2 linked regions of the Danio rerio genome follow. The protein of the gene in region 1 interacts with the protein of each later gene in a pairwise test. Links are inferred from orthologs where the notes say so. Each region holds a gene or a part of one and is shown in the gene's direction. Other genes may lie near its edges.

Evidence for each region.
Region 2: the proteins of stub1 (region 1) and olfm3b interact in binary tests that used the Homo sapiens proteins (3 or more experiments, as listed by UniProt). The two-hybrid records come from large-scale screens. The link is inferred for Danio rerio from reciprocal best matches to the Homo sapiens genes STUB1 and OLFM3.

The regions. Positions count from the first base shown.
Region 1 is NC_133199.1:43,368,341-43,381,423, forward strand, and holds the start of stub1 (E3 ubiquitin-protein ligase CHIP), read left to right. Parts: upstream 1-4,973; 5' UTR 4,974-5,219; intron 5,220-8,175; 5' UTR 8,176-8,273; coding exon 8,274-8,396; intron 8,397-10,043; coding exon 10,044-10,242; intron 10,243-11,336; coding exon 11,337-11,502; intron 11,503-12,606; coding exon 12,607-12,682; intron 12,683-12,939; coding exon 12,940-12,996; intron 12,997-13,083. Other genes in the region: luc7l (putative RNA-binding protein Luc7-like 1), read left to right, coding at 1,616-1,739. UniProt on the Homo sapiens protein: E3 ubiquitin-protein ligase which targets misfolded chaperone substrates towards proteasomal degradation.
Region 2 is NC_133177.1:17,717,200-17,730,283, reverse strand, and holds the start of olfm3b (noelin-3), read left to right. Parts: upstream 1-6,412; 5' UTR 6,413-6,762; coding exon 6,763-6,831; intron 6,832-13,084.

The DNA.
Region 1 (13,083 bases):
ATGCAAAAATCACTTTTTATAGGAGGTTTAAACCCAGTTGTGTGGCAGCATTGTGTGAATATAGCCAGCCTTTACTAGTAAAATTTTTTTATTTTTTCTACAGTCTGCAGAAAGACTTTAACAATCTCCATTTGTATGTGTCATCAGAGGGGGAAAGCCCCGCCCACTAGTGCCCTTCTCTCCCTCATTAGCAAAGGAAGTCAGTCTTGTTTTGAATCTGCCACTATGCTGACACACAGGCATTTGTAGCCCCGCCCCCTTTATTTATTTTTTATTTTTGTCAAAAAAATCATCATTTATTTACATTTACTAGATTTTTTTTTTACCAGCACCAACCTTGATGACTAAAACTCTTTAAAAAATTAACAAACAAAAAAAAGTAACATCACTGATGTTTTTATTTTTTATTTAATTTTTTTTAGTCATCGGTTGTTTTGATACATAAGCACATAAACACAGTCTCAGTCATGCAGTGGGAAAGTAAAAAAAAAAAATGGGGAGATATACAAACAAGTAAACATGGTAGTACAGTCAGGATAGACAGTCTGGATATAAAAAAAAAAAAATATATATATATATATATAAATATATATATACCATAGAGTAGAAAATCAGGTGAGATTATTGATGTAATGCCAAAAAGGTGTCTATAGCTGCCAGAAGTCATCTATCTGACTTTTGATGTGCATCATAAGTGAGTTTTTCAAGTGGAAATAACGCACATACTTGAGACAACCACATTTCAAAGGAAGGCACCTGAGGAGATGACCACAATAAAAGTATACATTTCTTTGCCAGTTAGACCAAAATTTAAAACAGGTGTTTGGTGTGGGGGTCTGGCACATTCTCTACTACATCATACAACAAATACAATTCTAGAGAAAAACAGAACTTTATCTGAAAGAGAAAAAGAAAATGATGTGTTTTCCTCCAAAAAGAGATGATTTTGTCACAATCCCAAAAACAGTGAAGGAATGTTCCTTTGCCTTTTCTGCAGTTACAACAAAGATCAGAGGAGTTTCTATAAATCTTTTTCAGACGCAAGGGTGTGAGATAAACTCTGTTAATGAATTTATAATTGAGCTCTTGAACACCCAATGAAGTACATTTAGAATACAAGTTGGTGCATATTTCAGACCAATCCGTGTCTTTAATTTAGTGACCCTAGTCTTTTTCCCACACACACTTCAAACTCAAAGGAAGAAGTACATGAGTTTGACAGAACTTTATATATTTTGGAAATTAGCCCCTTGGCAAAACTGTTTGATACAATTTGCTCCATGGCTGCAAGTTCAAATGTCAGTTTACCCATTTCAGACAAAGATTTAATGAAATGACTCAGCTCAAGGTATTTAAAACCATTGGATTGTGGTATATCATATTGATTTTAAATTTCTTGGAAAGATTTAAGTGTACTGTCTGTGAAGAGGCACGATCATTTTTGAATCCCTGATTTGTAGCTCCGCCCTCTTTTTAAAATCTCATTTGAATTTTATGTAAAATTTGCATATTCATGCCAAACCTGAAGACATTTTTTTATCCTGACAGTGAACTGATGCTTTAAATAAATAGCAAACTCTTATGTTGAACTAAGCTGATTCCTGTGTGTCTTCAGGTCTTCACGAGACCGTGATCGCGAGAGGGACACCAAGCGCAGCTCATCCGAGCGGAGATCAGACGGGCTGAACGGCCGGACAGAATCTCGTCGCCATGACGACAGAGAGGCCGGAGAGATCTGAATCATCTCACGTTACCATAGCGAACACCCAGACCCATACATACATGCATATCCCCACTTTTATATCCATCATGTTTGCCTCGTCCATAGTAAACTGCCCACGTCCTCCTCCATCACAGTCCTTGTAGTCTTTAATATCTCAGTCCAGTGAGCGCTGCACCCGTCTCATCCACTGTGCTGAAATGAAAGGTGTAGCTTTGAGTTCTGTTTATTTCTTTTAAACAAACGTCTACTGCCGTTTTTTTTGCCCCGTCATGATGTCCGTCGCCGTTTACTTCTGGAATGTAGATTTGGTTTGTTCTGAGGGAATGTGTGCATGTTGTTTTTGTTCTGAAAGCTGTTCTGAGGTCAGTTTAAACGCCCCTTCCTTTAAATCTAGCTCCATTGTTTTCCCCATAGAGAGAGAGAGAGAGAGCTGTAGGAGATGACGAAATCTGAACAAGCGTGTTCTTGAAGTGTTGCTTCAGATTTATTATGTACATGATCTTTTATAATGCCGTTTTGATTTCATGTCCTCCTTATTAAAGTGCATTAAATGGTTTTATGAATTGAAGTGGTGTTTGTTGTGAATGGGGGCTCTTGCTGTTGTGAAAGGTGTGTCATTTACCTGAATCTGTTTGGTATTAATATAGAAATGACATATTGCAACATGAGTTTGATTCCATCTCGAGGATGGAGGAAAGTCCTTACCCCTGGTGGAGGAGTTCAAGTATCTCAGGGTTTTGTTCAGGAGTGAGGGAAGGATGGAGTGTGAGATTGACAGGAGGATTGGTGCAGCTGTAATGCGGTCAATGTGTTGGCCGGTTGTGGTGAAGAAGGAGCTGAGCCAAAAGGCAAAGCTCTCGATTTACCGATGAATCTACAATCCTGCTCTCAGCTATGGTCATGAGCTTTGGGTGATGACTGAAAGAACAAGATCTTGGATACAAGTGGCCGAAATGAGTCTTCTTCACAGGGTGGCAGGGCGCATCCTCATAGACGGGGTGAGGAGCTCGGAGTAGAGCCGCTGCTCTTCCACATCCAGAGAAGTCGGCTGAGGTGGCTCGGGCACCTGTTTCGGATGCCTACCTAGAGAGGTGTTCCAGGCATGTCCCACGGGGAGGAGACCTTGGGGGACACGCTGGAGGAACTATGTGTCTCTGCTGGGCTGAGAGTGCCTCAGGATCCTCCGGTGGAGCTGGAGGAAGTGTCTGGGGTTCTGTCCTAAGACTGCTGACCCTGAAAAAGCGAATGAAAATTAATAAATGAATTTAATTGCATTTAGAAAAAATTCACATGTTTTTTTTTTTTGCACCTACAATATGATGCAAAAAACGAACTTTTTTTTATTCTTCATGAAACTAAAAACAAAATTCAGGCTGATTTTGGAAGTTTTGTGTAATTGTACATATGAGAAAGACTAAATTTCACGTTTTTCTAGGAGAATTAGAGACATTTGATGTATTTTTATATTACTGTCCATGGCTAAATTATGTAGTTACATAAAAAAAATAATGTTAAAGGAAGAAATTATGGCATTTTTTGTAATTATTAATTTAAAAATGAGCAATTAAGTCTTATGAGTTATTTAAAGGTCAAATTAAAAGGTAAAAAATAGAAATGTCATACTTAAAATCATACAAAAACTCAAAAGTACGATTAGCTTAAGTAGAAATTAAATCATTGCACAATATCTTGAACATTTTTAGTTATTAAATTAATCATCACAAAGAAACTGCAAATGTAGAGTAATTAATGATAAAACTAATGAATTATGTATTATAATTATTCACATTTGTTTACATATACTTTTCTACTTGTCGACTGTTCATGTTGTCCTCATTAAAGTGCATTATATGGTTTATGAACTGAAATGGTGTTTGGTGAATGAGGGCTCTTTTACTGTTTCTTAATGTTAATATATTATTTATCTGAATGTGTTTGGTGTTCAGCAGGAAATAACATTACAACATGAATTTGAGTACATTTATTATTATTCACATCATTTTCAGCAAACTCATTGTTTTGCACCTAAAATATGATGCAGCTATTTTGGGGGGACTTTAAAATATCTCTAAACAAAAACTGAATACAAAATTCACATTTTTACAGAAGAATTAGAGACATTTGACTTATTTTTATAATAAAGTCTATGACTAAATTATGTAATTACATGAAAAAAAAATTTAAAGAAGAAATGACGGCATTCTTCATAAATGTTAATTAAAATGAGCAATTATGGCTTACTCTGAGTTATTTAAAGGTCAAAATTATAAATAGGGTATTAAAAAAAAGAAATGTTATACCTAAATCAAAATTAGAAGTGATAAGAAAGCACATTATCTTGAACATTTTTAAAGTTTTAAAATTAATAATCACAAAAAAACTAAAATGTAGAGTAAAAATGATGATAACACTAATGAATTATATATTATCATCATAATTATTCACATTTTGATTCATGTATTTTTTCTACTTGTCTTACTTGTCGACTGTTCATGTTGTCCTCATTTAAGTGCATTATATGGTTTATGAACTGAAATGGTGTTTGGTGACTCTTTTACTGTTCTTTAATGTTAATATATTATTTTTCTGAATGTGTTTGGTGTTCAGCAAGAAATTATATTGCAATCTGAATTTGAGTATGTTTATTATTAAATTATTCACATCATTTTAGCAAACTCATTGTTTTGCACCTAAAATATGATGCAGCTTTTTAGGGTGACTCTAAAATGTCTCTAAACAAAAATTAAATACAAAATGCACATTTTTACAGGAGAATTAAAGACATTTGATGTATTTTTATATTAAATTATATAGCTAAATTCTATAACTACATGAAAAAAAATATTTAAAGAAGAAATTAAGACTTTTTTTGTAATTCTTAATAAAAAATGAGCAATTATGGCTTACTCTGTTACTTAAAGGTCAAAATTATAAATAAGGTATTAAAGTCATAAGAATTAAAAGTCATTAGAAAGCTCAAAATTATATGCTGAAGTAGAAATTAAGTCAGTTATTTATATTTTTATTACATGCTTTTCTAGAACACTTTTTAAAATGTGTAACCGGAAAAAAACGTGTAAAATGTAGAATAAATAATGATAATAATCAAGCATTATTATTATAACTGTTTTCATATTTATTTATATATTTTATCTAATTATTATTATTATGAAATTAAACTCCTGCACGTCGCCGACAGGTGGCGTTATTACGTTGGCAACGAGCTTCCGATCGTCACCTCCGGCGACGTCACAGTGACGGCAGAGTCAAAACAACCGAAACATGATGCTAGCGTCTCACACCCGCGGGTAAAATGTCGTGTTTTTGAGGATCGCCGATGAAAACGTCGGACATTTGTCATCTTAATGTCATGATCGAGTCGGAATATGAGTTTGGCCGCGTTTCATTCGCTATCAGGGATCCAAAAGTGATCATCAAAGCACCAGTGTCGCTACCGGTTTGCTAACGACAGGCGTCAGTCCAGCAGTCAAACCCGGTACGCCTCAAATAATCCATATTTCATATTCAAACCATCTGATTTAATCTCTAAGCGTGTTTATTCTCAGCGCTGACCTGGTTGTTAGCTTGTAAAGTGTGTGTGAATGTGCTTATGTGTCAGGCACAGGAGTTTAATTTCTGATCGACGTGAAATTACATTTACTCGTTGGTAGTGCTTAATTTTAGTGATTAACTGTTGGATTGTGTGTGTTTTAAGTTCACAGAGCTGCATAAAGAGTCATGAATGATTTCACACAACTGTCAGTGTCCAGATGTGTGTTACTGTTGTCCAGATGTGTGTGTGTGTGTGTGTGATGTACATTAAACAATTCATTTTAATCATTTCTACTATATGAACAGCAGCTCTACAAAAGGTGCACGTTAATACATTTCAATCAAAATCAGAAAAATGTAGAGTATACACTCACCGACAGGAGCTTAATGCATTTAGGCATGTAGACATGGTCAAGACGATCTGCTGCAGGTCAAACCGAGCATCAGAATGAGGAAGTAAGGGGATTTGAGTGACTTTGAACGTGGCATGGATGTTGATAACAGACATGCTGGTCTAAGTATTTCAGAAACTGCTGATCTACTGGGATTTTCACGCACAACCATTTCTAGGGTTTACAGAGAATTCTCCGACAAAGTGGAAATATCCAGTGAGCGGCAGTTCTGTGAGCACAAATGCCTTGTTGATGCCAGAGGTCAGAGGAGAATGGCCAGACTGGTTCCAGCTGATAGAAAGGCAACAGAAACTCAAATAAGCACTCGTTACAACCAAGGTCTGCAGAAGAGCATCTCTGAACACACAACACGTCCAACCTTGAGGCGGATGGGCTACAGCAGCAGAAGAGCACACCGGGTGCCGCTCCTGTCAGCTAAGAACAGGAAACTGAGGCTACAATTCACACAGACTCACCAAAACTGGACAATAGAAGATTGGAGAAACGTTGCCTGCTCTGATGAGTCTCCATTTCTGCTGACACATTCAGATGCTCGGGTCAGAATTTGACGTCAACAGCATAAAAGCATGAATCCATCCTTCCTTGTGTCAGCGGTTTAAGCTGGTGGTGGTGGTGTATTGGTGTGGGGGAGATTTTTTTAGCACACTTTGGGTCCATTAGTACCAATTGAGGGTCGTGCAAGTTTTTGCAAGATACTTGTATTCAGCATTTAAAGGCTTAATTATGTTAACTAGGCAAGTCATTGTATAATGATGGTTTGTTCTGTAGCTAATTGAAAAATATCTTGATTTCTGTAGCGCTTTTACAATGCAGATTGTGTTAAAGCAGCTTAACATAGAAGATTATAGTGATATAGTGATAGTGTAAACTGTCAGTCCAGTTTTCAGAGTTGGAGTTCAGTTTAGATTAGTTCAGTGTGGTTTAATATTCAATACTGAGAGTTCAAACACTGAAGAGCAAATCCATCGATGCGCAGCTCCACAATTCCCAAACCAAGCAAGCCAGTGGCAACAGCGAAGGAACAATCTTCACCAATTGACGTGATTGAAGTGAAGGAAAAAACCTGGAGAGAAACCGGCTCTGTTGGGCACGACCATTTCTCCTCTGACCAAACTGCAGAAAAGCAGTCTAGGCGCCGGAGGCTGGAGAACGCTGGATGTCCATCGTGGAGAAGATGCAAGTGTGAGTAGGTCACCGGCGTGTGTTCAGGCTGGCCCACTTGATAAATGTGAGGACTTGTTTGTCACTGGGGTGATTCAGGCATCAGTCTTATGCTCTCAGCTCCTCCATGACAACCACAATATCTGCCAGGCCCGGATTGGCGAACCGAGAGAATTCCTGGTGGGTCGGTCCGTTTTTTGGCCGTGAGGGCCAGTGTCCCTAGCTGCTTGCACTCTCAGCAGTCACACTTTTTTCATTTATTTATTTATTAATTTGACCATAGCCTCACTCTTTTTTTTTGTTTTTCATTATTTTGCCGCAGCGCCGCTCTTTTTATTTATTTTTTTTCTTGCTGCTCCGTGAGCAAAATGCAGCCTGCAGGTTTACTAACGTTAATGATGATGTAACTAATCATTCGACCCCAAACAGTGGCACCTTAGTGATTATAAGAATTTGAATAATTAATATTAATGAATAATACACCTGCTCAATGAAAATCAGATGATTTACTACATTAAATCTGACAAAACTTGATCAGAAATCTAAAAGGAGAAAATGATTTAGCCATCAAAGTAATACTATGTCTTGCCGTTCACAGTGTAATCTTTATTTTTTATTCCCACTGGAATAGCGCCATTGTGGTCCAGTGGAAAGCACGTTGCGTTGCGAAACTTCCGACCCATGTTCGAATCTCACCTGAAAAATTATTATTATTATTTTTCGTTTTTATGACATAATACTGTAAGGGTTGTTGAACATTTGAATTTCTAAAGCAGCTGTTTTCTCAAAAAAGATGTGATAGTGTCATTAGAAACTGAATTGGAAATGACCTTATTTTAATGTAATCAGTCGAGGTGGGCTGGTCTGGCTTGAAACTCCAGGGCTGAAAATGAGTCCCACTCCGGCCCTGATATCTGCTCAGGATACGGCCTGGTCCAGGATTATGGAGACCTCTAGAAGTGCTCTGCGGTTGGCATCATTTCTTCACAGGTCTTGGATCACATCAATGGCGCTGCACAATCTCTAGAGGCCTCGGGATGAGTATCCCCAGGTGGAAATAGAAAATAAAGAAAATAATTAGCGTAGCTGCTGTTCATAGTGTATTTAAACAAGAGATATTAAAAATCAATGCAAAAATCAAGAGCTATAAATGAAAATAGCACTTATATAAACATAAAAACAAACACGCAAAGCATATCATTGTTTCTAACAAACTGTTTTGAATGTATATTCTTATGGTGGCTAATAAAATTGACCCCATAAGAATATTGTTATGATTTTGCACCTGCATTACTGTGGCTCATATTTTCCTTGTGTGTTTCTGAGAGGTTTGCAGGTAACTGGCTCCCCGGGACCGGCCGGTGCTCACCGAAGAGACGGGGAACAGGATTGGGAAGCAGGGGGGAGCGGCCACCGCAGAGCCCATGGAGAAGATGGCGAGCAGCCCAGAGAAAAGCTCATCCGCACAGGAGCTGAAGGAGCAGGGAAACCGCCTGTTCCTCAGCCGCAAGTACCAGGAGGCCGTCACCTGCTACAGCAAAGCCATCGTGAGTGAGGGGTGCTGGGAACACACAGAGTAAATATGTGTGTCAGTTTCAACAGCGGGGGGTTTAGGAGAAATTCAGACTCACAGAAAGTTCAGAATTATTAAACCTTCTGGTAAATAGTTTTTCCCCAATTTCTGTTTAAAGGACACATTTCTAAACATAATATTTATAATAACTCCTTTCTAATAACTGATTTATTTTCTCTTTGCCATGATGACAGCACATAATATTAGACTAGATATTCTTGAAGACACTAGTATTCAGCTTAAAGTGACATTTAAAGGCTTTACTAGGTTAATTAGGGTGAAGTTAGGGTCATTAGGCAAGTCATAATATAACAGTGGTTTGTTCTGGAGACAATCCAAACTAACATTGCATAGGGGGGCTAATAATATTGACTATTAAATGGTTTAAAACAATTATTAAATGCTTTTATTCTAGCCAAAATAAAACAAATAAAATACTGTGAAAAATTCCTGAATCTGTTCAACATCATTGGCAAATAATTAAAAAAGGAAAAATAATTCACCAGAGGGTGAAGAAATCTGCCCTCAACTGTAAATAAATTCAGAAGTTAATTATTGTATAAAAACATCAAATATTTAGTGCTGTTTAATAATAATGTTTAATATGTATACTTCTGTATACGCCATTTACAGAGGAGCGGGTGTATGTTTAAACAGACAAATACACTCAATAATATGTAAACATCTCCGTCCTGCATGTTTTATTTTAAAACTAAAGCTTATTTTCTCTTAAATGAGCGTAAACAGTTTCTAAAGTAATGGAATGCTTCATTATTGATCTGTGCATTCTTACAGAGACACCTCTGTTATCAAACAAAACAAAACATGAGATTCATTTGCTGCTCACTTGTTTGATAACAGGTGTCACTTTAAATGGCGTGTACAGACGCTGAGCTGGGATCAGTTTATTGTACGGAGCGCGTCTGTCAGTCAGCGCTTATACATGCTTTCACTGCTTCAGAGGTTGCATATATATTGCATATTAAAGAAATTGGGATAGAATGGTAAAATATGGGAGAATTTCAGCTAAAACGGGTGGGTTTACGTGAGTGAAGTGAACAGGAAGTGTTTGTGGAGAAACAGTTTTGCGAGAGAACGCAAAACATCTTCGCGAGGGAACGCAAAAACGTAGAAATATATATTTTCCTCCCAACCATATTTTTTTTTCACCCATTATTTTTTTCTCCCAGCCAATTTTTTCTCCTCAACTACGTCCCTTCCGGGTTTCTGTACAATCTGGCAACCTGTGCTTGCGTTTGTTTTGATCAAGGGGTGCAATACCTAGTTTCACCACTGGGTGTCAAACTTACATACTGCACTTATATATTACATTTAAAAAGCTATAAATCCACATAATGTTTTGGTCACATCCATAACGCATGTTTGTTTCTCTCATTTAAAGTATAAAACACACTTACAGATTAATATTTTATGATTAACTCTGTGTTTAGTCACAAATATTAACTGCTATTTCGATTTAATATTAACATAAACATTCTCTGTGAATTTTCAGTTTCAAGTTTGTACTCCAGATGTCACATCCATAATGCTGGAGTTGCTCATGAGTTGTTCTGTATGATCTTGTGTGTTGTATTAAACGTGTCTCTGCTTGTTTGTGTAGAATCGTAACCCATCAGTGGCCGTGTACTACACTAACAGAGCGCTATGCTACGTCAAGCTACAGCAGTACGACAAGGCACTGGCCGACTGTAAACACGCCCTCGAGCTCGACAGCCAATCGGTGAAGGCGCACTTTTTTCTGGGCCAATGTCAGCTGGAGCTGGAGAATTACGAAGAAGCCATCGGCAACTTACAAAGAGGTACACACTGAGCGGATTATACACGCATTTCTAATCATAATAGTTTTAATAACTCATTTCTAATAACTGATTTATTTCATCTTTGTCATGATGACAGCAAATAATATTTGACTAGATATTGTTAAAAATACTAATATTTAGCTTAAAGTAAACATTCCGGATACCTCTGAAATCTGATCTGGCACCTCATTTTACTGATCCCCCTCCTCAACCGCCCTCATCCGCTGTTCACTTTCACTTTCTTTCGCGACTCCTCAACCCTCTCCACTTTCGTCAGCGACACCCCTCTGCCATCCAACGCCCCGCTATCTTAAACACACCCCCCCCCCCTCCACCATCCAACGCCCCGCCATCTTACCCACCCCCTCCTTCAATTTAGTCTGTGCCAAACTTTTGTGTGTGGCACCTCTACATCCTGAGGTAACATGACGGATCTGTTACCCCGATCTGTTCTGGGACCTCGCAATTCACAAATGAAGCACTGCTCACCCTTTTTTCAATCTTTTAAAGCTTTATGAAATTCTTTATTTTATGGAACACAAAAGGAGATATTTTGAAAAATGTTGAAAACCTGTAACCATTGACTTCCATAGAACTTGTTTTTTAATATGAAAGTCAGTGCTCTTCAGCTTTCTTCAAATTATCTTCATTTAATGGGATAGTTCACCCCAAAATTTAAACTTCAGGAGTTTTTTTATTCTGTTGAACACTAAAGAAGATATTTTGAAAAATGTTGCAAACCTGTAACCATTGACTTCCATAGTAGAAAACAAAACTAATTGAAGTCAAATGGTTCCAGGGTTCCAGCCTTCTTTAAAAAATCTTCCTTTCTGTACAGAAAAAAGAAACTCTGACATGTTTTGAACAAGTAAAGGGTGAGTAAATGATGACAGAACTGTAATTTTTGGGTGAAAGTTCTTTCATTAAATTAATCTATTCTCTAATAATGTTGATTTTCTTTTGGTCAATATATTAGTCATTAATAGTATATAAAATAAGTAAACATTATTGGCACAAAATCTCTAAAATGCCCTACAGAATGTCTAGACATCATACAATGTCTGTGATTAAATTGCTCTTTGAATCATTTCCAGCCTATAACCTGGCGAAGGAACAGAGGCTCAATTTTGGAGACGACATCCCAAGTGCTCTTCGCATCGCCAAGAAGAAACGCTGGAACAGCATAGAGGAGAAGCGGATCAGCCAAGAGAACGAGCTGCACGCCTATCTCAGCAAACTCATCCTGGCCGAGAAGGAGAGGTGTGTGTGTGTTTGTGTGTGCATATGTGTTTTTTTTGTATGTGTGTCTGTGTGAGTTTCTTTATTTGTGTGCGTGTTTGCTTGCCTGTGTTTCTGTGTGTGTGTTTGCTTGTGTGTGTGTCTTTGTTTGTTCATGTGTGCATTTGTTTGTGTGTCTGTCTTGTGTGTTTTGTGTGTGCTTTTTGTTTTTGTTTGTTTGTGTGAGTTTAAGTGTGTGCATTTGTGTTTGTGTGTGTGTGTTTGTGTGTGCATTTGTGTTTGTGTGTGTGTGTTTGTGTGTGCATTTGTGTTTGTGTGTGTGTGTTTGTGTTTTTTTTTGTATGTGTGTTTGTTTATTTGTGTCCATGTGGGCTTCTGTGTGTGAGTTTGCTTGTGTGTCTATGTGTCTGTTTGTTTGCTTGTGTGTTTTTTGTGCGTGGCTTTGTGTGTGTGTGTGTGTGTGTGTGTGTCTTTGTGTGTTTGTTTGTGTGTGTGTGTTTGTCTGTGTGTGCATTTGTGTGTGTGTGTGTTTGTGATTTTTTTTTGTATGTGTGTTTGTGTGAGTTTGTGTTTATTTGTATCAGTGTGTGTGTCTGTGTGTCTTTGTTTACTTGTGGGGCTGTGTGTGTTTTTTGTGCGTGGCTTTATGTGTGTGTGTGTGTTTGTGTGTTTGCTTGTGTGTGTTTTCTTGTGTGGCTTTTGTGTGTTTGTGTTTTTGTGTGTGTCTTTTTGTGTGTGTGTTTGCTTGTGTGTGTGTGTGTGTGTGTGTGTGTGTGTACACATTTGTGTTTGTTTTTCTCTGTATGTGCATTTGTGTTTGGTTGTGTGTGTTTGCGTTTTTTGTACATGTGTTTGTGAGTTTGTGTTTATTTGTGTGCGTGTTTGCTTGCATGTGTGTTTGCTTTCCTGTTTCTGTGTGTTTGTGTTTGTTTGTGTGTGTGTGTGTGTGTGTGTGTGTGTGTGTGTGTGTGTGAGTGCTTTTGTGTGTGTGCTTTTCTGTGTTTATGTCTCTCTTGTACGTTTGTGTTTTTGTTTGTTTGTGTGAGTTTAAGTGCGTGCATGTGCGTGTGTGTGTGAGTATCTGTCAGTGTGCTCATGCTTCTGTTTGTGTGTGTGTGTGTTCAGAGAGCTGGACGACCGAGTGAAGCAGTCAGATGACAGTCAGAATGGAGGAGACATTAGCAAGATGAAGTCCAAGCATGTGAGACGTCCACATAAACACATCTCATACCACAGTACAGCACAATGCTCGATTCTGATTGGCCGATGAGCTTTGAAGATGATCCTAAAACAGCTGTAAACCTGTATCTATTGACTGCCATAATAGGAAAAGAAATACTATGGAAGTCAGTGGATGCAGGTTATTCTAATAATTACAGGCATATTGTCGATTATTCCCTGCATATAATCGGTGTATGATTGATGAAGTGATGTCATTTCCTGTGCTCGTCCCTGCAGGATAAGTATCTGATGGACATGGATGAGCTTTTCTCTCAAGTAGATGAAAAGAGGAAGGTATGAAGGGATTTTCTGATCGCTGCACTGACTCTGAAATATCACTGGCCCAAATCCTGCTCCTTGTAATGTTGTCTGTGTGTTTGG
Region 2 (13,084 bases), on another chromosome or scaffold:
TCTCTCTCTCTTCTTAGCTGTTGACACATGTTGGCTTGCGGTGTGAAGGCAGTCTCTGAGATGTCTGTCTGCAAGCTGCTTTGAGCTTTGATACATAGCTAAACTGATGTGTGCTCAGGGGGTGAGCACCTCCTGCGAACACCAAGGTGACTCCTGCAGCTTCCGCAATAAGACACAACAGACTGTCAAAGTGAACTTATATGTCATTGTCTTTACAAGATTAACCATTTAAAAGACTTTGGGGTGTGCTGTTGCTGTAGATACTATCAACTTGTATAAAAATCGGTAAAAATATATGCTTAATATTAGACTTTTTACACTTTATGCTTACTCAAATGTTGCTTTTAGAGCATAAACAATATCCACAAAGCCATAAAGCCCACTCCAAATTGTATTTTATTTCTGGGAACGTACACATCAAAAACTATTTGCCTGGTTGGCTTGCATTTGTAGTGCTCTCTTTATAGTATTTTCAAGAGATGTTTTACAGATCAAATGTCTTGATACATGCAATTTCCTCCCAGTTAACATCTACAAACATACTGTAGCTAACATCAGGAAAACCTGAGTTGTGTTTTTAACATAACCTTATGTGTATTTGACAGCTGATGCAAAAGAGAACTTAGGCAAACTACCATGTGAAAGCCATCTGTTTGTGTGCACTTTTTGTGTATTGTAAATGAAGGGCCCAATATCATACACTTGTGTCGCAAGTGTTTTTTGCTAGTTTTAGCCTGGCGCAGGTATTATTTTCATGTCCTGTGCCATGTTGTTTTTAATATCAAATGTATTTACACCCAATTTTGTGCTCAAGGGCATGCTGGTCTGGAAAGACGTCAAGGTTTATGTTGGGGCATTGATATTTTGAGGCTACTGAAAGGGTTTGCGCCCTTGACCATGGAAATTCTGGTCTAAAATTCACTGGCATGGTTATTAATTCATTTTCCTTTGGCTTAGCTCATATATCAGGGGTTATAACAGCGGAATGAACCGCCAATTATTTCAGCATAAGTTTTACACAGCGGATGCCCCTCCAGCCACGACCCAGTACTGGGAAATACCCATACTCACATTCACACTCATAAGGCCATTTTGTTTACCCAATTCACTTTCATTGCATGTATTTGGACGGTGAGTGTAAGCAGAACACCCAGAGAAAACCCATGCAAACACGGGGAGAACTCCACACAGAAACACCAACTGGTCCAGCTGGGACTTAAACCAGTGTCCAGCGTGGTTATTATTATATACACATGTTTTTAAAGAGCATGTTATCGATACCAAAATACACATTGCTTATTTGTCACGCTGGTAGACACAGAAGACAGAAGTGGTTATCTTTTCACATGTTTTATTCAAAATAAAGTCACTAATCACAAAGGGAATACAAAGGGTTAATGTATATACTGTTTTGATCTTCATACAGCAATGAGAGCATCAATAGTGTAGCATTCGATCTCACTAGAAGTTTGCTTGTTTTACACACAGTAGGAGAGTATACAGTTCATCTAGTTGGTAGTGGATCTTCTGGTAAACACATCTCATGTGTAAGCATTCGATTTCACAAGATGTTTGTTCTTATACCACTGCAGGTGAATACTTAGATACACAGTTCATCTAGTTGGTGGTGATTCTTCTGGTATCCACTACACAAGTGAGCTTTCCACTGAATCAGTGAGAAGGATCAGTAAGCAGATAAAGATCACCCGTAGGTGAGTACACAGGCACACAGTTCATCAGAGTGATAGCAGATCTCCCAGTAAACATCAGATAAGAATAATCACTTCCCTTGATCAGAATGAAGGACTCGATGACTCATGAGGAACAACTATGTATAAAGGTGAGAAGACACCGGAGCAAAGGTGAAGACAGCTATCTGACTTGAATACCGGCCGACGAGAAAACCAAGAAGATGGGTCTTTAAAGTGTCCATGGGTAATGAAGAACAGGTGCAAGTCGTTAGTAGTCTGATGAAGGTTCACTGGATTGGATGGAGGTGGTATGTGAGGGAGAACGTTGATTGGGTGAGCAGGAACAAGCTGGGGATGTGACATTATTACACACAATGGGATGCACAGCAACACGCTTGGAAAAGGTAATTAAATATGTTCAAAAATTAAAATTAAATGTGGATTAAAATGTAAAAAAATATTATCTACATACAGTTGAAGTCAGAATTATTAGCCCCCCTGAATTAATAGACCGCTTGTTTATTTTTTCCCCAATTTCTATTTAATGGAGAGCAGATTTCTTCAACACATATCTAAACATAGTAGTTTTAATAACTCAGTTCTAATAATGGATTTATTTTACCTTTGCCATGATGACAGTAAATAATATTTTGCTAGATATTTTTCAAGACACTTCTATACAACTTAAAGTGACATTTAAAGGCTTAAATAGGTTAATAAGGGTAACTAGGCAAGTTAGCGGAATTAGGCAAGTTATTGTATAATGATGGTCTGTTCTGTAGACTATCGAGAATAAAAAAAATAGCTTAAAAGGGCTAATAATTTTGTCCCTAAAATGGTGTTTAAAAAATTAAAACTGCCAAAATAAAACAAATAAGACTTTCTCCAGAAGAAAAAATATCATCAGACATACTGTGAAAATTCCCTTGCTCTGTTAAACATCATTTAGAAAATATTTAAAAAGAAGAAAAAAATTCGAAGGGGGCTAATAATTCTGACGTCAACTGTAAATATAAAAAAGCTACCTCCTTCATCTACAGAGGATTTTGTGGAATCCAGTTTGTTTCGTAGTCACGCATGAGCAGATACGTTTCATCCTTAGTGAATTGTTTCACAGCTTACGAAATCTGCCATATAAATAGCAAATCCATCATTGCACAATGGCAATTCTTTAAGTAAATGGGAGATAATTCTCTGATCGGTTTAACGCATGTTATGATCAAAACCCATGTATACCTTTTTGGATGTACTGACCTTTTTTCCCATCATTAAAATTGCCAACGTAAATTCACAACCTAAATGCATGCGCTTTAGACCAGGGGATCCCAAACTTTTCAGCATGCGATCCCTAAAATAACAATGCCAGTGACTCACGAGTCACGACCCTCAGTATTCTCTGGGGTGGTTATAGATAAATAATCCTTGCACACATCAATAGGCCCAAGTCTATTCATCATTTAATTAGGATAAAACCACTCAGAGACCATCCTCCATCTTTATTTGTGGCTTGTATTTATTTTTGATGTACGTGAGTGCCATAAAGGCATTAGAAAGTTTAACATAGTGCCAAAAAACTATTGTGCTGCATCTGATGGTATTGCTGTGTCTTTAATATAACCTAATTACCCCAGGGGTCTGAAATAATTGAAAAGTTTAATGTTAATGTTTTAATATTTATTATTAACATGTTAACAATGTTGCTATTAACTAGTATATTGGTTTGTTAAAATAGAGCCCCAAGAGTTTCGACTGCCAAGACTGTAAAGCACATGATGGTTTTGTTTGTTGTTCTAAGTAACTGGGTTGACGAAGTGTAAACCACGGCTTCATATGAAAAGGGTGCAAGATCAGCTGTTCATTTGCATTTAAAGAGACACAATAAAACATTTAAAATAATCTTTTACAGCATGGTATAATAAATGATCAACCCTGTATTTTGGTATGAAACCTGATACTTATATTACATATTGTAAAAAGTATAGAATAATTCTGTGAACTCAATTTAAAAAAGGACAAGCTACTCTATTGCGTACATCATTCGAACCCAGGATATTTTAACTGTACAATAATGTCTCTATGTATATTGTTTCACCATATACTGATATGAACACTAAAGTAAAAAATGACATTCTCTTTTAATATAGGTAGAGATAAAGAGAAGCCCAGTCTAAAATAAGTGCACCACACTTGTTGCCAAGCAACTAATTGAAAATGTGAGCAGAGGTGAGGTTAGGTTTATGATTTAACTTCTGATGAGACTATTTTAGCATATATCTTGTTTAATGAAATGTGTTGTGAGCTTTATTTTAGACTGCCATCAATTCATAACCTCTTATTCTATAAAGCACATACTATACAAAAAAAACATACATCATTTATTTGGTCTCATTTTCAGTGTTATGAAATAACCAAAGTCATGTTTAATATTACATCATATATTATGAGTGAAATTGGTTTGAAAACAGGATCTTTTCTGACCCATTTTTCATATTGTGCAACAAAGTACATTCCCTGCACTACTTTCAGTCAGTGGGCCAAACAGACTACTGATGAAAACCTTAAAAATGTATTTAGTGTTGAGTGATGCCAACATTTGCTACAGATTGATCAAATAAGAAACAAATTTAGGCTACTTTATTTGGCAAATTTCAGTCACTTTTTGTTACTTTAACAATAAAACGGCACGCATTTCACTATAAATTATACAACAAGTGTAAACAAAAAGCTAGGCAGCAAAGCAACAAGTTAGCCAGGACAGAGATGAACATGTACTCAACATGCATTAGATTTGCCAGTTTCCATTGTTTAATATTAGCCTAACAGTTTATTAATGAGACACGTTGTTACTAGTTTTGATCAGGTAGATGCACTGATGGAATGCAGTTTACAGAAAAAAGTCCAATAGAATTTTCCAACCCTATCAAACTTTTTAGACATAAAATGTAACATAATACCATGCGTACTTCAATATTAATTATGGAATGAGCGCTTATTTTGAGTCATTTTGGTGATTCAAAATCCCTACTTTGATTCTTTTGGTTAACTAATTTTGGTTGATTGATTTTGGTTGATTAATTTTGGTTGATTAATTTTGGTTGATTAATTTTAGTTGATTAATTTTGGTTGATTAATTTTAAATGTATTAATTTTAGTTGATTAATTTTGGTTGATTAATTTTGGTTGATTAATTTTAGTTGATTAACTTTGGTTGATTAATTTTGGTGAATTAATTTTTGTTGATTAATTTTGGTGAATTAATTTTGGTTGATTCATTTTAGTTGATTAATTTAAGTTGATTCATTTTAGTTGATTAATTTGGTTGATTAATTTTGGTTGATTAATTTTGGTGTATTAATTTTAGTTGATTAATTTTACTTAATTAATTTTAGTTGATTAATTTTGATTGATTAATCTTGGTGAGTTCATTTTAGTTGATTAATTTTGGTTGATTAATTTTGGTTGATTAATTTTGGTGTATTAATTTTAGTTGATTAATTTTAGTCGATTAATTTTAGTTGATTAATTTTAAATGTATTAATTTTAGTTGATTAATTTTAGTTGATTAATTTTGGTTGATTAATTTTGGTTGATTAATTTTAGTTGATTAACTTTGATTGATTAATTTTGGTGAATTAATTTTTGTTGATTAATTTTGGTAAATTCATTTTGGTTGATTCATTTTAGTTGATTAATTTAAGTTGATTCATTTTAGTTGATTAATTTTGGTTGATTAATTTTGGTGTATTAATTTTAGTTGATTAATTTTAGTCGATTAATTTTAGTTGATTAATTTTGATTGATTAATCTTGGTGAGTTCATTTTAGTTGATTAATTTTAGTTGATTAATTTTGGTAAAATAATTTTAGTCGATTAATTTTGATTGATTAATTTAGGTTGATTAATTTTTGATGATTAATTTTGGTGAATTTATTTTGGTTGATTTATTTTGAATAATTCATTTTGATTTATTCATTTTGGTTGATCCATATTACTGGGGTGACACAGTGGTGCAGTAGGTAGTGCTGTCGCCTCTCAGCAAGAACGTCGCTGGTTTGAGCCTCGCCTGGGTCAGTTGGTGTTTCTGTGTGGAGTTTGCATGTTCTCCCCGTGTTTGCGTGGGGTTCCTCCAGGTGCTCCGGTTTTCCTGACAGTCCAAAGACATGCAGTACAGGTGAATTGGAAAGGCTACATTGTCCGTAGTGTATGAGTGTATATGGATATTTCCCAGAGATGGGTTGCAGCTGAAAGGGGATCCGCTGTGTAAAACATATGCTGGATAAGTTGGCTGTACATTCTGCTGAGGCAACCCCATTATTAAAGGGATTGAGCCGAAAAGAACATGAATAAATGATTCATATTGGTGAATTAATTTTGCTTCATTGCTTGATATATTTTGGTAAATTAATTTTGGTTGATTCATTTTGGTTGATTTATTTGAGGTAATTCATGTTGGTGAATTCATTTTGGTTGATTGTCACGAAATTGTCACAAGAAACTTTAATCTTAAAATCATTGTAGAAACATGATTGATATAATTGATGATATTTGGCGTTTAGAAAATGTGTGATAATGCTTGTTATTATATCATTTAAAAATAAAGTTTTACATATGGTTAAGTAATTACCAGTTAATGTACTGTTGGTTATTTTTGCCTCCTTAAAAAGAATAATTAAATTGCAATTCTTATTATAATTTCTTTAAAATATGCTATAAAACAGGTTAAAGGAGTCAGATTCGTTTCTTATGAGAACGAGATAGTGGACATTTTGTTCATACAGCCTAAACCTTAGTCTTTAGCTTTTACCTAAAGTATATACAAGTCGTGAACTTATTACACACATCAAGTTTGGCAGATAAGTAGAGTAACCCCACAGTGAAGCGATGATGTAATATCCGCCGAGAGTCTCCACACATCTCTCAAACTTTTCTGCGCCCGGAGCGACGATGACAGCGCTCGCATTTTCCGCGGCTCTGTCGAGAATCTCTGGTCCCAGCGAACGGACAAGCTCCATCTGAACCATCGCGGGGAATCGGGCTGAAAGAGACACGTAGGCGGGAGACTCGAGGCAGAATGCGGCCGCTGTTCGTGGTGCTGAAACCGCTGTGTTTTCTCGCCCTGCTCGGCTACTGCCCTTCCGCGGTGAGTCTTACTGACTTCACATACACAAAAACTTGACATGTCTGAGTCCGGCTGCTAAAACAGCACTGAGTCAGAGGAACAGGGTGTATGAAAGGCTGAGTGTGGACGCAAAGTAACTAATAAGGCTCTCGGTGTCATTTTTGTGAGGTATTCTTATGTTAATGCGATAATATCATTTAGTGACACCCTAAGTCTAGAGAGAGGGAGTTAATACGATGCAATGCAACTAAGCTGGCTGGATTTTATGTAAATATCCATAAGGGAAAAAATGTTTTGGTAAGAACATTATGTTATACTGAATGGACGACATTAAACGATTCAGTTTTCAATCAGTTTTATTTCCGGCGTTTAAACGGTTGTAAGCATCCACATGTACAGTACTGAGCATTAGCTGTTTGTTGCCTAAATGCATAGTAAAAAGTAAAGTATGTGCAACAATGCATTTTGTACTCCGTTTTTTTTTTATTTGCTGCTAGATGTGTTTTAATAATTTATACGTCATAATAAATAAGAACTTATATGTTTATTTTTTTCCTAATAAAAAAAAAAGTTATTTGGGAAACAATAGTTTATAAATATGGTATTGTAAATCGCATGCCTTTCCACAGAACAAAATGAACTATAATTACAATTTTCTTCCCATTATTTATTTTCTGTACACTATTACAACCATAATATACTAGTTAATTATTTTAATTATTAATTTATTTGTGTATTTTTCAACATTAGTGTATTTTTAGTTTATATTATTAGACTATAGTAGCCTATACTGTCATCCAAATGAAGATGTGTTTTCTGCAGTAAGTACAGAAGTAGCCTTTAAAAACAGCCATTAAATACCTTAAGTTGTAATATAAAGGCAGTGTAACAGTTCATGCTGTATGTACCGATTGCTAATTTTTAAAACTAGTCTAAAACACATATTAAATTATTAATCCACTAATATGACACTAAAATATTTTGATACAAAGTGAGAAGGAAAGCAAGGCTTTTAAACTGCAAAGTGCTATGGAAATGTTTGGGAAAAACACACTGAATTTTTTATGAATAATTTAAATTAATGTAAGATCTAAATAAATTAATAAACATAGAATTAAAGCTAAAATGTACATAATAAAATATAAAAAATAAACTTAGATTAATAATAATAACTACTTAAATTGGATGGATGGATGGATGGATGGATGGGTGGGTGGGTGGGTGGTTGGATGGATGGATGGATGGATGGATAGATAGATAGATAGATAGATAGATAGATAGATAGATAGATAGATAGATAGATAGATAGATAGATAGATAGATAGATAGATAGATAGATAGATAGATAGATAGATAGATAGATGCTTTTTATATATTAAGATGGGGGTCTTTCACACCACACTCTCAGAAATCAAGGTACAGGAGCTGTCACTGGGGCAGTACCTTTTCAAAAGATACATATTTGTACCCAAAGAATTTACAGTAAAGGCGCATATTAGTGCCCAAATGTACCTAAAAAAGTACCTTTGAGGGACCATTATGGAACCTTTAGGTATCAATATGTACCTTTTGAAAAAGTACTGCCCCAGTGACAGCGTCTGTACCTTTATTTCTGAGAGTGCAGGATGATCATTTTTGGACATCTAGGTCATCTAGAATATTAAAAACCCCTAAACAACAGCATCTGACATTGCTAAAGAGTTTAAGAGAGAAATGTTTTCTTTGTCAGCCTGTTCTCGGCATCATTATTAATCTGTATGCTATCCCAAAGGGGTCTTTTTCAGCACTGGGTCAAGATCAAAATCTGCAATGCTGACAAACAGCTATCTATTTGTCTTGTAAAACCCAGAGAATTCATCTGAATGTGACTGGAAACAAAAGAAGCCTGTAGTATCTGAAAGTGTCACGAGAATCTCTCATTTAGTCTTAATAAACCCAGCTGCAGTTCTTATTTGAGGAGCAGAATCCCTCGGCTCATATCTCATAATGACAGTGAACTAGCAGGAAGTGCCCATCCAACTTGGATATGTTACAATTTGCTGAAATTGCAGTTAGTTGGTAGTTGCAGCAGCTTCAGGAAGTGTGCCAGAGTGTGTAAAGCACCCACTTTTTTTTTTTTTTTCAACTCGCCTGTAAAAGGCTAGTCCCCAGAGCCGGCCTTTCAGAGCCTGCTGCGAGAGTGGAGGGGAAAAAAAAAGAATGAATGTGGGTGTTTACAAAGCGCCTTTATTGTTGTAGACAATCTAGGGAAATTTTAGGTGATGAAGGTGGAGAGAGAGGCTTTATCATGAAGGTGTTGCAACGGGGGCTATTTGTAGTCAAAACACACTTCTTTGTTTTTTCTTCTTTTATCTGCTGTGGTTTAGCAGCTCGCGATTGAATTGGATTCAGTTTGATGAGTGCATGAATCTAAATGAATTTTCTGAATATTCTTCCATGTTAAAGTAGGGCTGTCCCTATAGGAGGTCACTGTCCTGCAAAGTTTAGCTTTAATCCAAATGAAAGCACTTAAATATCCGCTTGTTAAGTTGTGACGTATGGAATACTGTTTCCGGTGTTCTGTTGATTTGTCATACCTTGTCAGATTGTCCTACCTCCCATTCAAAAAGTAGGCAGCACATTTAGATGTCGGTAGTAGGTAGTGCTGTCGCCTCACAGCAAGAAGGTCACTTGTTCGCCTAGTTCAGTTGGCGTTTCCGTGTGGAGTCTGCATGTTCTCCCTGCGTTCGTGTGGGTTTCCTCCGGGTGCACCGGTTTCCCCCACAGTCCAAAGACATTTGGTATAGGTGAATTGGGAAGGCTAAATTGTCGGTTGTGTATGAATGTGAATGAGTTTGTGTGGATATTTTCCAGAGATGGGTTGTGGCAAGAAGGGCATCCGCTGCGTAAAAATGTGCTGGATAAGTTGGCAGTTCATTCCGCTGTGGCGACCCCACATTAATAAAGGCACTAAACTGAAAAAAAAATGAATGGAAAAAAAAAAAAAAAAAAAAAAAAAAATATATATATATATATATATATATATATATATATATATATATATATATATATATATATATATATATGGTTCATTTGTTAATTTTTTGTGGACTTTTTTCAGTTTTTTACATATTGTATTGTGTCCACTTGTTCTGTGTTAGTTTATATACAATTGAAGTCAAAATTATTAACCCACTTGAATTATTAGCCCCTCTGTTTATTTTTTTCTCAAGTTTCTGTTTAACTGACAGAAGATTATTTCAACTCATTTCTAAACATAATAGTTTTAATAACTCATCTCTATAAAAAATTTATTTTACCTTTGCCATGATGACAGTGAATATTGAAACATTTAAAGACTTAATTGGGTTAATTAGGTTACTAGGCAGGTTAGGGTAACTAGGCAAGTTATTGTATAATGATGGTTTGTTCTGCAGTCAATCGAAAAAATATCTAAAGGGGCTAATAAGTTTGTCCTTAAAATGGCGTTAAAAAAATAAAAACTGCTTTATTCTAGCTGAAATAAAACAAATAAGACTTTCTCCAGAAGAAAAAATCTTATCAGACATATTGATAAAATTTGGGAAACATAATTTGGAAAATATTCAAAAATGAAAAAAATTTATATATATATATATATATATATATATATATATATATATATATATATATATATATATATATATATATATATATATATATATATATATATATATATATATATATATATTTTTTTTTTTTTTTTTTTTTTTAATCACTTTGTCAACGTTTATTATTACCATTTGTTGAGTCTTCCCTATCCAGTTTGATAAAGTGCTTGGACCAAAAATCTGATTTGTGTGGCATCACACTTAACAAGCGGATAGAGTATGTCAAAAACAGCAAATATGAACATATGAAAAATTTAGTTGGTAAATACCTGGTTGACCTACTACTTCTGGCTGAGTTTCTGAATAATGCGTTGAGTGGAATATGTCTGCATTTCATTCATTCATTTTCCTTCGGCTTAGTCCCTTTATTCATCTGGGGTTACCACAGCAGAATAACTGCCAACTTATCCAGTATATGTTTTACACAGTGGATGCCCTTACAGCTGCAACCTAGTACTAGGAGGAATCATCCATACACATTCACACACTTACACCATGGCCAATTTAATTTTGTCACGTCTTTGCACGTCTTTGCAATGTGGGGAAACCGGAGCACCCGGGGGAAACCCACCAGCAACCTTCTTGCAGTGAGGTGACGGTGCTAACCACTGAGCCACTGTGTCGCCCGTCTGCATTTTATTCATACTACAAATAATCTAGAGCAAACATTTTTAGCGCTCAAGAAGTAAGTTTATATTGAAATACAGAACCTGCTCTGATTTTGTATACACCAAAGGCCTTCAGATTCAATAGGAGCCTTTTAGTCTTGTGTGATTGAACAAAATTCTACTGGACATTGACCCTCCAGGAACAGTTTGAGATGTCTCCTGATAACCAGTAAAATTATATATTTAACTGCACTGACATAAGCACAAAACTTAAACTGAATTAAGTTGGAAAACTATATTGTCTAGGCCACAGGTGTCAATTCCAGTTCCTGGAGGGCCGCAGCTCTTTTCACAGTTTAGTTTCAACCCTAATTAAGCCTAATTAAGCTCACCTGATCAAACTAAGTCCTTCAGGCTTGTTGGAGACCTACAGGTGATGCTGCGGTCACATTAGAGCAGGGGTGGGCAAACTTGATCCTCGAGGGCCAGTGTCCCTGCAGAGTTTTGTTCCAACACTAGTCAAACACACCTGAACATGCTAATCAGTGTCTTTAAGATCACAATAAATCTATAAGCAGGTGTGTTTGATTAGGGTTGGAGCTAAACTGTGCAGGACACTGGCCCTCCAGGCACGAGTTTGCCCACCCCTGCACTAGAGTTTGTGCGTGTGAAATTCTGTTGTATGGCACTTCGAAAAGAGGGATTAGACATTTAAAAAAGCAAGCAAATGGTCCATGTATTAAATTTCTGTACTGAGAGGTCATGTTTTAATCTTTTATTGGTCTCACGCAATCATGTGATGTGATTTCGCGGGTCAGAGTTTACCAAGCTTTAGCTTTCCAACGCAGCGAACTGTGAAACTTGTTGCACTACAGTAGCTTGTGTTTCCGGTCTGACGCATTCACATGCGTATGAATGGAAGTCTATGTGGAGAAAAGTCCAGTGTGACCGCTGCAATGGCTGCACGATTTATCAAAAAAAGGATTGAGATCTTGAATCGATCCTACAATCTTAATTCAGCTTTTCTACGATTCAGCCAATTATATTTTCAAGAGCATGAGAGAAGCATAAAGGTGAGTTGCACAAGTCTTTTTATTGTTATACATATGCTGCTAGGCAACATGTACACCTCCAAATGGTGTTAAACGTGTCACTTAACAAATTTAAGTGTATAATTCACCCTAAAATGTCATTTCTGTCTTAATGTAATGATGTATTCGCAGCCGCAAAATCACACGTGAGCTGACGCACTGTTTGTTTACCTCAGAGAGGACGCGCGCGTGCACGCCATGGCTACTTTAGTGAACAGAACCTGTATAGAATGTGAATAACAGGTAATGAAGTTGTACATAAAGTTCAGTTTTCTGCACAGAGCGATCGTTTGATAGCCATGCGGGAAGTATGATTTGCATGTATGGTTTTTTTTTTTTCCTCACAGCAGACATGAACGCACACGGCAGTAAAGTGCAACAGGCGCGTGCATCATTTAAACGATCAGATTTTAGAGTTACAGTATAATTACGCAAATCACTTGATATGTTTTTTTCTTTCAGCAAACACAAAAGTGTTTGAAAAATGTGCATTACAACAAATGTTTACTGGGTCAGTATAACTACTCTAGCCTATATAATGTTGAATATAATGCAGGAGAGAAACTGATAATGACAAATGTCTCATTTTACCAGTGAAGAAAAATGATCTAATAATGCTGTCAATGACAGATGACAAGCATATGTCTATATGATAATTCAACTTTAAAATTATGAATAGTTGTATTCTGATGTCATCACTTTACTGTGAATCAACAAACAGGACATATTTAGTCTGTCCGAATCTATCGTTCCATGTATATACAAAATGTAGCATTTAACCAACAGTAGATCTACACATTGGCCTATTATTATTATTGTTGTTTTAACATATGTTTGAGAAATAACACTAATAATAGCCTATTCATATTGACCTTTACTTTGCATCTACAAAATTGTGAGAAAATTGTGATCTTTATTTTAGGCAAAAATAATGAAGTCCCAATCA